2 linked regions of the Arabidopsis thaliana genome follow. The protein of the gene in region 2 purifies or fractionates together with the protein of the main gene of each other region. This does not show direct contact. Each region holds a gene or a part of one and is shown on either strand. Other genes may lie near its edges.

Region 1 (4,803 bases), on a different chromosome or scaffold from region 2:
GGTGTGCCCTCATTCCGGTCATTTTCTTTTGAAGAGTTAAAGGAAGCCACAGACGATTTCGATTCATCACGTTTCTTAGCTTTGGAATTATGCAGGAAAATGGCTAAAACAGAGGGCGATGTGTACAACTTTGGATTCATACTTCTGGAATCTCTGATAGGACCAGTACCTACTACAAAAAGGAGAGGCCTATCTTCTCAACGAAATGGTATCATATAGGGTAAAGAAAAGAAGCAAATCTTCATCATTGTTAATAGCTGTTGCTGCAATGTTGTATTTGCAGACGTCATTTGGGAGCCAAGACTGTCGACAGAAAATAGGAAGTCCAACGGTCCTAACAACAAGCTCGCAGGAGTCTTTACCCAATTGCCATCTCAATCGCCAATAAATGTGTTTTGCTTGAACCTTCTGCAAGACTTCCTTTAAAGATGTTCTCTGGAACTTACCATATGCAGCTCAAATGCAGTCTGCCGCAGACGCTGAACGCAAATCTGATAAGTCGTCGTGAATCCAAAGGCTAACCTGATGATTGATAGTTGTTTTCGGATTTATAAATGTTATGTTTTATAAGTTTGGTTTTTCAGTAGAAAAATGTAATACTCTAGCGGCTAAAAAACATAGTTTCTTGTCTCTCTTGAAACTTTATTCGTTTAACAAATATTGATTGAAGAAGATGTTGAGTTTTGTAGTTGGCGAGAACTTCTCAATCTTCAAGAACAAGGTACTGAGGCAGGAGACTTGTCAAATGTTCTTGGAGAATTTTGTCTTTGAATTGCAGAATCGATCCCAAATATTTTATTATTATAAAAGCTACAAGAATACAGTTTCTAATACATGTATTAGCAAAAAAGTAACAGTAAAACCAAGGGCTACACACTTTTCTTAAACAGGAACTTTGGAGTCCACTGATTTGAGAACCTCCTCACCCATTTCCTTGCATCCCACCAGTTTCTGCATTTTCAAAACACAAAAAGACTTCTTTAAGTATATTGTCATTAACTTATACAAAACAAAAGACAGAAATCATCATACACATACATTTCCGGGGGAGTAGATGTCTCCGGTTCTGAAACCTTTGTTCAGAGCATCCACGACCGCGTCTTCAATCATCTTTGCAGCCTTTTCTTCTCCAAGTCCATACTTGAGAAGCATCGCCGCACTGAGAATGGTGGCCAATGGGTTTGCCTTGTCTTGTCCAGCTATATCTGGTGCTGAACCATGTATAGGTTCAAAGAGTCCAGGTCCCTAGTTTTCATCACAAGTTTAACAATCAATATATGATAATAATAAACAGAGGAACCTTGAAATATTAGATTTAGTCTTACTTACCGATTCACCAAGACTTGCAGATGGAAGCATCCCAATGCTACCAGTGATCATTGAAGCTTCATCAGACAATATATCACCAAAAATGTTATTGGTGACGATTGTGTCAAACTGCAATAATGTTTTTAAAAATGCCGTGAGTACTACAAGTTCCACTTCTGTGTTAGCTTAATCAACGGCTAAGCTTTATATATGCGCGAAGATCACCTGTTTCGGGTCACGGACAAGCTGCATCGCAGCATTATCGACATACATATGTGATAGTTCAACATCTGGATATTCAGAGGCTAAAGCTGTTACTCTTTTCCTCCACAATATTGATGCCTATACGAAACAAAACAAAAAAATAATTGTATAACGAAAAACACACAAGAGTGGAGTGGAAAAACAATTCAAAACATACATCCAAGACATTGGCTTTGTCAACAGAACACAGCTTGCCACGCCTTTTCCTAGCAGTCTCGAATGCAACACGAGCAATTCTGTCAATCTGAAGAAGATAAAGCAATGCATTAATACACATACATTGTCACAGAGCAGCAGATTGTGAAGAGTAAGTAGTACCTCGTGAGCAGCGTAGATCTCTGTATTAAAACCGACTTCTTCGCCATTTTCGTTGATCGTAATGCCTCTTGGCTCTCCAAAGTAAATACCTCCAGTGAGCTCCCTTACAATCATCATATCAACACCTTGTGCTACTTCTTTCTTCAGTGTGGAAGCATCAACTAGCTGAACAAGCAAAAACAGAAAAATTTGAGTATATTTACAACTAGAAAGCAAAGTGATAAGCAAATCAATACCTGTGGTAAAACTGTAGCAGGTCTCAAATTAGCAAAGACATTGAGATCTCTTCGAATGTTAAGCAGACCCATCTCAGGTCTCAGATGTTTCTCATTCTTGTCCCATTTGTACCTGAACAAAAAATCATCATAAAGAGAATAAATTTGCTGAAGAAACAACACACACACGCATTACACATACCCTCCGATAGCTCCAAGAAGAATGGCATCAGACTGTTTAGCAGCAGTGGAAGTTTCCTCCGGCAATGGAACTCCGACCAAATCCAAAGCTGCTCCGCCGAAAGGCATCTCCTGGAAATCAAACTCTAGTCCTTGGAGAAATCCAGCTTTCTGAAGCACATTCTTAGCAACAGATATAACTTCTGGACCGATACCATCGCCGGGAAGCAGAGTGATGTTATACCGTTTTTTCACCGGTGAAGCGGCGGCGCACCTAATTCGATACGGCGCACGAAACTTATGATCGGTGAGAGAACTGTATCTTCCCGGTATGATCTCCAGACGGATGTTAGTTTGCAAAAACGCCGCCATCTTTTTTTCGAGTTTAGGGCACCACCATCGGCAAAAACTAACCATTTGAGTATACTACAGAGACCGGTTATCTCTGGTTATTTGTTAACCTGATTTTGGTTCAATGTTCTCATTAATTTCAATTTTAAGTTCTATCAGCTTTTTGGACTCTCTCATGTCCACCATCCGTTCACTTGGCCGCGTTCATATAAACCAAAAACCGAACAACAACAAAAATTCGAAAATTCTCCGGCGACACCAACAATGGGAAGGTCTCTAATATTCTCTGGAAACATGTCATTGAGAATCTCTCACTTACCCAGATCATCTCTTCCGCTGCAAAACCCAATTTCAGGCCGGACAGTGAACAGAACTTTCCGATATCGGTGTACGAGGATTTTGTCTAATAGCTTCAAGTCCACAACGAGACTTCAAACCAAAGCTGTTCTGTCTGAGGTTTCTGATCAGACGCGATATCCCAGAATCGGCGCTAAAACCACCGGAACTATATCTCCGGCACACCTCCTTGAAGTCGTTGAACTCGCCGCTAAAACCGGCGCTGAGGTTCGAAATTTCATGTCTGTAGAATACAATATCTGAATTTATGTTTATTGGAAACAAAAACTCTTGATGAGACTTGAAATTGTGTTCAATGGTACTAGAATCAAGTTCTTGGGTTCGTAGGGCACAACTGCACAAGGAGAATAATAACAAAACTAACTTGAATTGAATCATCTGGTTTGTTAGGTGGTTATGGAAGCTGTAAATAAGCCAAGGAATATTACTTATAAAGGTCTCAGTGACTTAGTAACTGAGTAAGGACTTCTTCACCTTTTAAAATTGTTAGCTTGAGGTTTTAACTATGTTCATGTTGACTTGATTGGTTGAAGCTATTAAAGTTTTAGTACTTTTGATGAATTTGCAGTACTGATAAAGCAAGCGAGGCTGCTATTTTGGAAGTAGTGAAGAAGAATTTTAGTGATCATCTTATTCTTGGTGAAGAAGGAGGTATCATCGGCGATTCGTCTTCTGATTACCTCTGGTGCATTGATCCTCTAGGTTTAGCTCTCTTTACAAATCTCATTGCTTTCTTTTCATGTGTTTGTGTGGAATCTCTGAGATTTTTAGTATTAGTCTCTTAATTCCTTTATGCATAGATGGAACTACAAATTTTGCTCATGGATATCCCAGTTTTGCTGTTTCCGTCGGTGTTCTGTATCGTGGAAATCCCGCCGCTGCTTCTGTGGTAAATCCAATATATACTTGCACAAACCAGCTAATGCTTGTTAGTTCCTATTTGCTGATTCTTTGGTCAGTAGGATTAACAACAAAATCTCATCATGCAGGTAGAGTTTGTCGGTGGTCCGATGTGCTGGAACACTCGAACCTTTTCTGCAACTGCAGGTACTATGTGACAAGCTTATGTTTGGCTATATATCTAAATTTTGTCTAACTAGTTCACTTCTTAGGTGGTGGAGCATTGTGTAACGGGCAAAAAATTCATGTCAGTAAGACCGATGCTGTAAGTAACTTATCAAGAATCCAATTTTAAGTTTCGACATGGTGTGTTCAATGGTTTTGGTTTATTAGATATTTATTCGGGTTTGAATGAAGGTGGAGAGAGCACTTCTTATCACAGGGTTTGGTTATGAACATGATGATGCATGGAGCACTAACATGGAACTGTTCAAAGAGTTTACTGATGTGAGTCGGGGAGTGCGAAGACTCGGTGCTGCTGCAGTTGACATGTGTCATGTTGCACTTGGGATTGCGGAATCATATTGGGAGTACCGTTTAAAGCCATGGGACATGGCTGCTGGTGTTCTTGTAGTCTTCTTCATCCTTCTTGTTGTTTTTTTCTTACTAAAGTACTTAAGTTGTAGAGCTTAATCCATGTCAGAAAATGGACACAGATAGTTGAGGAAGCTGGAGGAGCTGTGACTCGGATGGACGGAGGGAAGTTTTCTGTGTTTGATAGGTCTGTTTTGGTCTCCAACGGCGTTCTTCACCCCAAGGTTTCATGAACTGTTCATACTTTTATCAATGCTTTTAATCTGTTGTGCTTAGAGATCAGGTCTCACATATTTTTTGTTTAATCGGTGTAGCTTCTGGAAAGAATTGCACCCGCAACTGAGAATTTGAAGTCGAAAGGAATCGATTTCTCGTT
Region 2 (7,781 bases):
TTGCAATTATTAAAGTTCTTACGTAGGGCAGGTCGATCCTCTTATAGAAAACGTCACACTATCATTTGGGTTGTTAACATGGATCACAAGTTGCAGCATTATGATACTTTATAGTAGCGTTTTACCAATTTTAGAGGCGGCTTCACACCAGAGTAAATGACTTCTGACACAAAAAGCATGGTCACATCACATCATTGACCTAACTGACCACAACTCGTGCACATGAAGATGGGGTCATGCGCCGACATTCATTGTCGTGAACTAACATTCTCCGAAATATAAAAGAAAAATATCGTTGTTTAATGGGCAAACCAGAGTTGTAAAAGTCATCACCTCACTTTCTCTCCAAGTCATCACCTCACTTTCTTTCCATGCATTGGAGTGCACGATATTGTTCTGAACCACTATTTGGTAAAAAATGTTTAACGTTGGGTAAGGACTTGGGCGCAAAAGTGTATCAACGGTTTCTTTGGTGGAAAATTGTTTTAACTAGTGGTCTGCTTTTGACTGTGGCACTGACAATTGATTTGTTTTAAGAGGTATGTTATATACAATAACCGTAAACAGAGGTACATGAATGCTATTCTACAAAATCTAAAGTGAATAGTTACGTATATAATCATTAATCAGATACAATATCTTTCGGAATAACCGGATTGCCATGCAAGCTTGAAAAATGCTGTTTCTATGGTTTATGAAATTCTGATGAGCAATAAGAGAAAGTATCCTAAGTCGTGCGTTCTTTTAAGGATGTTAAGTTTTTGATCGTACACGTTAAGCATCAAAACACTCGATCGAAGTACATAGTCACTCGACGTTGATTTTCGGATACGAAAAGGCTGCCGACTATTCTTAAATCATTTTATGTGCATATAATTTAGAGAAAAAAAGCTCCTCTGATATTATGCTCCCAATTCTGATTTTATGGGGTTTGGATTATTAGTACCCATTTTTAGATAATTTATGAGTGCCGATAAAGTATACTCTGATCAGGGACAGTGAAAAAAAGAAGAACAAGGGTGAAAAATGCTCAAATGGTTCACGTTTGGTCGAAGGAGAGAAACTTGGGCTTGGTCATCACATCTGGGGCTCGGAACTTGTCTGGAAAAGTATTTCAGAGATGTTTTAATCAGAACCATGACCAAAGATTGAGAATGTGAGAGTCGTTACACGGCCATACCTCGAGATATCGTTTCAAAAGTGTGGTGGTACTGTAATTGAATCCCTCGGGAGCGGTTCCTTGAGTGCGTGATGAATGAAGCTGTTTCCTGACCTGAGTAGCCAGAACTTTTCCTAGCTCAACGCCCCACTGGTCAAACGAATTGATACCCCACACAAAGCCTTGAACTGCTACTCTGTGTTCATAGATAGCCAACAACTGAAAAATAAAACATATGCAAAAATGTCAGCTTTTGTCGCAGTGATCCTCTCATCTCAATCTTAAGATGGTAGTGATAACCCTGAGATAGAGACAGACCTGGCCAACATTGTAAGCAGTCAATTCTGGAAGTAGAAGGCTAAGAGAAGGTCGATTTCCAGAGAATGTCTGTGGAAAGATACCAACAGGTTTACTCCAACACATTTATATACTGAAAAACATAGAAGTTTTGTTTTTTCAACATCGATCCAAGACAAGTTTTTACCTTATGGGGAATGAGATTTTCTGAAACATTCTCTTTCTGCAGCTGTTCAGGAGTCTACAGAAGGTAAAAGAACAAAGAGTTTGTTTCAGCATGGAACCTTAGTAAATGCATCAGTCTCTTTACTGCCATGACCAAATGTAATGTCTTACTTTTCCATATGCAAGAGCATCAGGCTGTGCAAAAAAGTTTGACATGAGCTCGTCGTGGTTACTGACCACCTCTCCTGTTAATCCAATGCAGAACTTATCTTATTTTCGAAAGAGAATGCATAAAACAGCTCAAGTCAAATTAACAGTAGCAGGAATGGAAGCCTACCCTTAAGGTACACAGGTTGCTGACTCTTCACAATGCCAATGAAATCACAAGGGATTACGCGTCCCTAAAACATCATTTCAAAAGATTTAGTGCTTTCCTCATTAGCTTATCATGTGATGAGAACTTGCTAAAATCTAGATCCAAATTTCCAGTAAACTCAAATTATAGGTAGCAAGTACCTGGTGAATGAGTTGGTAAAAGCTGTGTTGACCATTTGTTCCAGGTTCACCAAAATCAATCTCACCAGTCTCGAACGGGAGAGGTAGACCATCAATTGAGACTCCCTTTCCATTACTCTCCATACTAACCTGAGATCAACCAATTGCTCCGTTAATATTCCCGTAAACAATTTTAAGACTTTTATGTCAAAAATAGATATGAAGAAGCAAAGATTAAGGAGACAAAAGGGAAACCCAGTTCACATACCTGTTGAATGTGTGGAGCAAATTTCTCAAGGGCTTGCGAATAAGGTAAGATGGCCTGAGAAAACAAAAAAGATGTTGATGGAGGCTGAATATCTTAAACTGAGATGAAAACTTCAGCTTTCTGATAAAGGAGTCGATTCTTACCCTAGCAGGATATCCAAGAAATGATACATTCCATACACTCAACAACCCTAAAAGCACCTGAAATCGTCAAAAGTCACCAAATCAACCTCTCACTCCGGCGTGACTACACTAATTAAACTAACTTACAGAAATCCCTATGGAGAGTTAATGTAAATGCTTGCTATCCTGAGTATAAGCAACTTCTTGGAAGAGTAATTCTTTGTTAAATGATGACTTCAGGTTACTCTTAGTGATTATCAAAATAAAGCACTCACAGGTATATTCTTCTCGAACGGTGTGGACTGGAAATGCTGATCAATGCTTGAAGCTCCCTTCAAAAACCTACCATCCAAAAAAAGACTGAATATCGACTGCACTATTGTGGATTTAGAAACATAGGGAAGGGTAATAAATAAAAGGGAAGTACAAGAAAAAAGAAGAAATCATTCAGATAAAGAAAAAAAAAAAAAAAAACAGAATTTACATCAATTTCTTTCCTGACATTTTATAGTTAGAACGAGTACATCTGTAAACTTATGCAGATAAATATCTCAAGACAGACATGCATTACTTCCTATTCCTAAGAAATTCTCTGAGAAGGGTAATAAATAGAAGCTACCGTACTTCTCAACCATGGAGAAGCCATACTGCAGAGACAAAGGTAAGACTCCAACCGCACTGCAAACTGCAACAAAAAATTCGGATAAAGATTAAGTGGATATGGGTGAGAAATGAATCCAACCAAAGAGACAAGAACTTACCACTGTACCTTCCACCAACCCAGTCCCAAAATGCAAATGCATTGTTCGGGTCAATACCAAACTTCTCTACTAACTGTTAAACAAAACATCCATAGTTTATACACTTTCCTGTACTGTCTGAATATGAAATATGTAGAAGGAGGTCGAAATAAATCATAATTCCTAGAACATCGAGACTACCATAGTCCATTAAATCTGTTCGATAATTCAGTTTCTAAAAAGACTGGATCAACATGTCATCTGTTCTACATAATCAGAACGACTCGAGTGCATGTGTTTCGAAGTTTAAGTTTACTAAGATGGACAATAAGGAAACAAAGTCCCCAAAAGAAACTCTAGCAAATGCATACCGCAAGATTAGTGCTGACAGCAACCATATGTTTTGCAACAGCTGAAGCCCTGTTAAGTTATCACATGTTAAATGAGTGATGTTCATCCACGATAACCAAAATATGGTAGAATAACACAAATTATATTTTGAAAAAAATAATAATTGTAAATGTACAAGCATAAAAGCTTTCCTCTGGCGATAATTGTAATTTTCTAACAAAGTAAGATTAAGATGCCAGAAATACCAACCCAAGAGCAGCTGTTATCCATTCCCTCAATGTTCTGGCGTTAAGCATTGTTTCAGCTGTTGTAAACGTTTTCGAGACCACCACAACTGGATTACAAGTATCCTCAGAATTAGTCAGAGTGAAAATCCGTCAATGGAAACTATGAAAGTGAATTTGTTGATAGGTTTGAGCATGAACCTAGAGTAGTTTCTGGATTTAGTCCACTGATATTTCTAGCAACATCAACAGGATCAATATTTGCAAGACTGCACAAAAAGAAACAAAAATTAATTCCAAGCAAGGCATCCACATGAATGAAATCCAAAAGGAATAACTAGAAGCTAACAAGTTCAATACAGCCTCCTCTTCCTAGGTTAAATGAAATTTAGACAAACAAGGAGTATGCAGTGTCTATGACAATAATGGTAAAGAAAGAATTCATGGACCTTCAGGAGAAACTTCAAGAAGCTCATTCATTCTACCAAAGCATTGCGAACAGAAACACAGAAAAAGACTACATAACTACAGGAATGCTGTGCTTACAATCGCAGCTGGCGTCCTTTAGCAGACTCTAGAGCTTCAGGATCTGGGAATGAAAATGCATATAAAAGCAAAAATTTGAATCAAAACAAGCTAGAAAGAACACCAGCAAGAGGCAAGGTACCAAGACTAGATGCAGCCCACCTGTTTGGAGAGCCGTGTGGACAAACAGTGGACCTAAGAAGCTACCACCAATACCAATCGCAATGACATCTTTCAGCGGTTTGCCAGTGGCTCCAACCTGTCAATTAGTTCAAAAAAACTCAACACAAGGAGATGAAAACGTAAAGAGGTAGGTTTTATAATGGCATCTAGAATTTACCCATGAACCAGAGCGAATTTTGTCAGAAAATTCCTTGATCTTATCTAGAACGTTCCACACTTCTGGAACCACATTCATTCCATCAGCCTTGATAACTGCATCCTTTGGAGCACGGAGCGCAACATGAAGAACTGATCTGTTCTCTGTACTGTTAATCTGAGGAAGCCATTTAAACAAATCAGACACCATAGATGATAGAAAATGTTTCTGTCTCAGTACCGAAGAAGATGGAGAATAATTCGCTTACAATTCATTTGCATTCTCTATTCTCTAATATGTAATACTAGATAAAGAGTTTCATAAGATCAAATCAAAGTAAGATTAACATGCGGATACTTACATGCTCCCCATTGAACATGCGGCTGATCTTCTCTGTCAATTGAGAAGCCTGCATATAGAAACAAATTATCAAAATTCGAGTGAAATTCGTTGCAATTCTATTAAAATCTGTCAATAAACATCTACCCTCACCTTTGCCAAGTTCAAAAGCTTGTCCATTGTCTCAACAGTTGCACGCTGTCGAGAATAATCCAACAGCAACCCATCAAACTCCCTAATTAAAACATACCAATAACATTAACAAGTTCAATACCAGAGCAATAGAAACTCGTAAATGCACAATAACTAGAAACAAACACAAAATCAACCGAGTTCAACAACAAACATAATGTACATAGCACATATGAGCCAAAGTAGAAAAGAAGACATACATCATCATGGACTGGCATCTATTAGCATCACTCATCAAATCACGCAAATGAGTCTTCTTAATATCTTCTACATGTCCCTGCCAAATTACCAAAACAATCCCAAATCACTTCTCTACACAAACCACCATTGACAAACTAAGAAAAGAGAAAATCCTTAAAGACTACTTTACCTTCAAATCCTTCCACGCTTCGGTATCACAAATCAAAGCGGTTGATGACGCCATTACTAGTAATCAATCATCAACAACAACGAAAAAGTCAAATAATAATAAAAATTCAGATTCAAAACAATTTGATTTTGAAACGCGAGAGTCGTCGTTCATCGCGATTTAACGGAACAAAACTTGAATTGGTATCACAGTTTTGATTAATCAAGAGAAGGAAACAAAAACAAAAACAAAAACAAAAACCTGAAGGTCTTCGAAGATGAGGTGAAGAAGAAGATTCCGGAATTGTGAGAAGAAGAAAGCTAGAAGAGAGAAAGTTTCCGATAGGGAAGAAGCGTGTGAGAGCTGAGGGTATGACACGTGTTGACGGAAGGTTCTGCTCTGCAACACGCGCGATAGAACGGAATAAGTTGGTAGAGAATGTTAAAACGGTGGCGTTTTAGTTGGATTAAGGAAATTGGTTTATTCATTTTCTATACACTGGAATACAAATCAAAAACAAAAGGCAAAGTCAATATTTTTTGAGAATTTTATAACTTGCCCAATACGATTCTCAGACCATCTTAGAACACTGATTTCACTCGCCATATACGGCGGATAATATTTTATTATATATAGGCTTTGATTGTTTACTAGTTTTTGTAATGGTTTTTGGTTTTTGTTTTTGAAAAACTTATTTTTTACCCATTCAAGATTTTGTGAATATGGTTCTTTTTAAAATCAAGGAATCTAGTTTTTGGAATATTTTTAACAATTTTTATTGACAATTTAAATTCTAATCTATTTGAAAACTCACAACCATTCTGAAATTAAGAGCAAGACGGCTATTTTAGGTAATGTTTTGAGTGAACTTTACTTTCTTATTATTTCACTTAAGTTTTATGTTACATCACAAGTTTCCTTTTATAGTTAAACAACGCTAGAGTTTCAATTATTGTAAACTGACAGATGTCTCAATCTTGTTATGCTTAGCAGATCATCAAACAATCAAATCTGTTCTCCGTGTTGATTGGAGGCGTACGACAGACGCTCCTCTTCTCTGTCGTTACTCTGGCTTTGTTCTCTTGCATAGGTGGTTTTGACCGTTGAGAAGATGAAGAAGATTTGTTGGGCTTCTCAGTTAAGTTGACATTGGGCTTGTTAGGTGAGTGGCCCAATATCCCTTTTCCTTTGTTTACTGCAGCGACGTCGTTCTGACTCGTTGACCCTTCATCTGCATTTGAGTTTTTCTCCGATCTTGTGTCAGATTCTGGAGCTGATGACGGAGCCGTGGAGCTCTTGCTAATACATTCATGGCTAGGCACAGTTTACTGAGTCCGCCTTATGACAGTCCTCTTTCATTGTACATATTCTCTTTTTGATGATAAATAAATTTAACATTTTATAATAATAAACAAACAAAAATAGCATAATATAAGGTAACAAAAAAAAGTGAATGATATTCTTTTGTATTAAAATTAGAATATAAGAGCAAGACCATTGGTAAGTCCTTATAAAGGAATCCTTACATTTGTATAATAATAAATTTTGAAAATTTTAAAGTTTAGAGTTTTTGTAGAGTCTTTACATTTTTTACTGTCCAGTGGTAGAATCCTTAAGTGAATTTTTTTTATAAAAAAAACCAGTCATTTTGGATGAAGAACTTGCCATTTTGGATGAACTAGTATTTTGATGAAATTAAATAGGTTTTAGCTTTGTATTGGAGTTTGTGTACTTTACTTGTTCGGTTTCTTCATTCTATTTATTTGAGGTGTGTGTGATTATTTCTACTTTTGGGTTTGTTGACATATGTCATAACTCAGTGGCTTCTCTTTTGGATGTTATGTGTTCGCATGCTTCAGAGAAGCCTTTTGGTACGTCAAAATCAAATGCTGCATGGTCATGTAACAAGGAGTAAGTATATTATAGAAGGATCTCATACAGCAAAACCATTAACATCATTACATTAATATCTAAAGCGTACAACAATCACTAATTTACTATGTACACACGCTTCTGTCATAAGAGTTTGGAATGTGACAGATACATAACCACAAACTAAATGAATAAGGAAAGAGTCTTTACAGATCCGAGTCTTGCCAGCTAGCCAAGCAGAGTTCATGTAATTCATTGAGTATCCATTCCTCACCATTGTGACCACCAAGGACCAATACTCTAGTTCCTCCAACAACGCATGTGCTATGTCCCCAAGCTAACTTGGGTGGTTTCCCTGGGACAT

Evidence for each region. Proteins that work in one complex are often made in the same cells at the same time.
Region 1: the proteins of AT5G42740 (region 2) and IMD3 fractionate together in Arabidopsis thaliana (co-fractionation; one large-scale study listed by BioGRID). This does not show direct contact.

What each region holds. Positions count from the first base shown.
Region 1 is NC_003070.9:11,141,961-11,146,763, forward strand, and holds IMD3 (isopropylmalate dehydrogenase 3), read right to left. Parts: upstream 2,758-4,803; 5' UTR 2,703-2,757; coding exon 2,308-2,702; intron 2,239-2,307; coding exon 2,127-2,238; intron 2,056-2,126; coding exon 1,891-2,055; intron 1,817-1,890; coding exon 1,730-1,816; intron 1,651-1,729; coding exon 1,534-1,650; intron 1,438-1,533; coding exon 1,330-1,437; intron 1,246-1,329; coding exon 1,039-1,245; intron 952-1,038; coding exon 883-951; 3' UTR 501-882; downstream 1-500. Other genes in the region: IMPL1 (myo-inositol monophosphatase like 1), read left to right, coding at 2,901-3,200, 3,384-3,451, 3,562-3,695, 3,794-3,882, 3,983-4,040, 4,106-4,158, 4,251-4,463, 4,550-4,651 and 1 more.
Region 2 is NC_003076.8:17,133,919-17,141,699, reverse strand, and holds AT5G42740 (Sugar isomerase (SIS) family protein), read right to left. Parts: upstream 6,040-7,781; 5' UTR 5,807-6,039; exon of another isoform or gene 5,623-5,806; 5' UTR 5,621-5,622; coding exon 5,567-5,620; intron 5,551-5,566; exon of another isoform or gene 5,474-5,550; coding exon 5,397-5,473; intron 5,240-5,396; coding exon 5,158-5,239; intron 5,075-5,157; coding exon 5,027-5,074; intron 4,843-5,026; coding exon 4,687-4,842; intron 4,606-4,686; coding exon 4,509-4,605; intron 4,411-4,508; coding exon 4,368-4,410; intron 4,091-4,367; coding exon 4,023-4,090; intron 3,932-4,022; coding exon 3,847-3,931; intron 3,667-3,846; coding exon 3,618-3,666; intron 3,341-3,617; coding exon 3,268-3,340; intron 3,192-3,267; coding exon 3,131-3,191; intron 2,849-3,130; coding exon 2,782-2,848; intron 2,585-2,781; coding exon 2,528-2,584; intron 2,439-2,527; coding exon 2,385-2,438; intron 2,267-2,384; coding exon 2,138-2,266; intron 2,023-2,137; coding exon 1,959-2,022; intron 1,867-1,958; coding exon 1,793-1,866; and 10 more.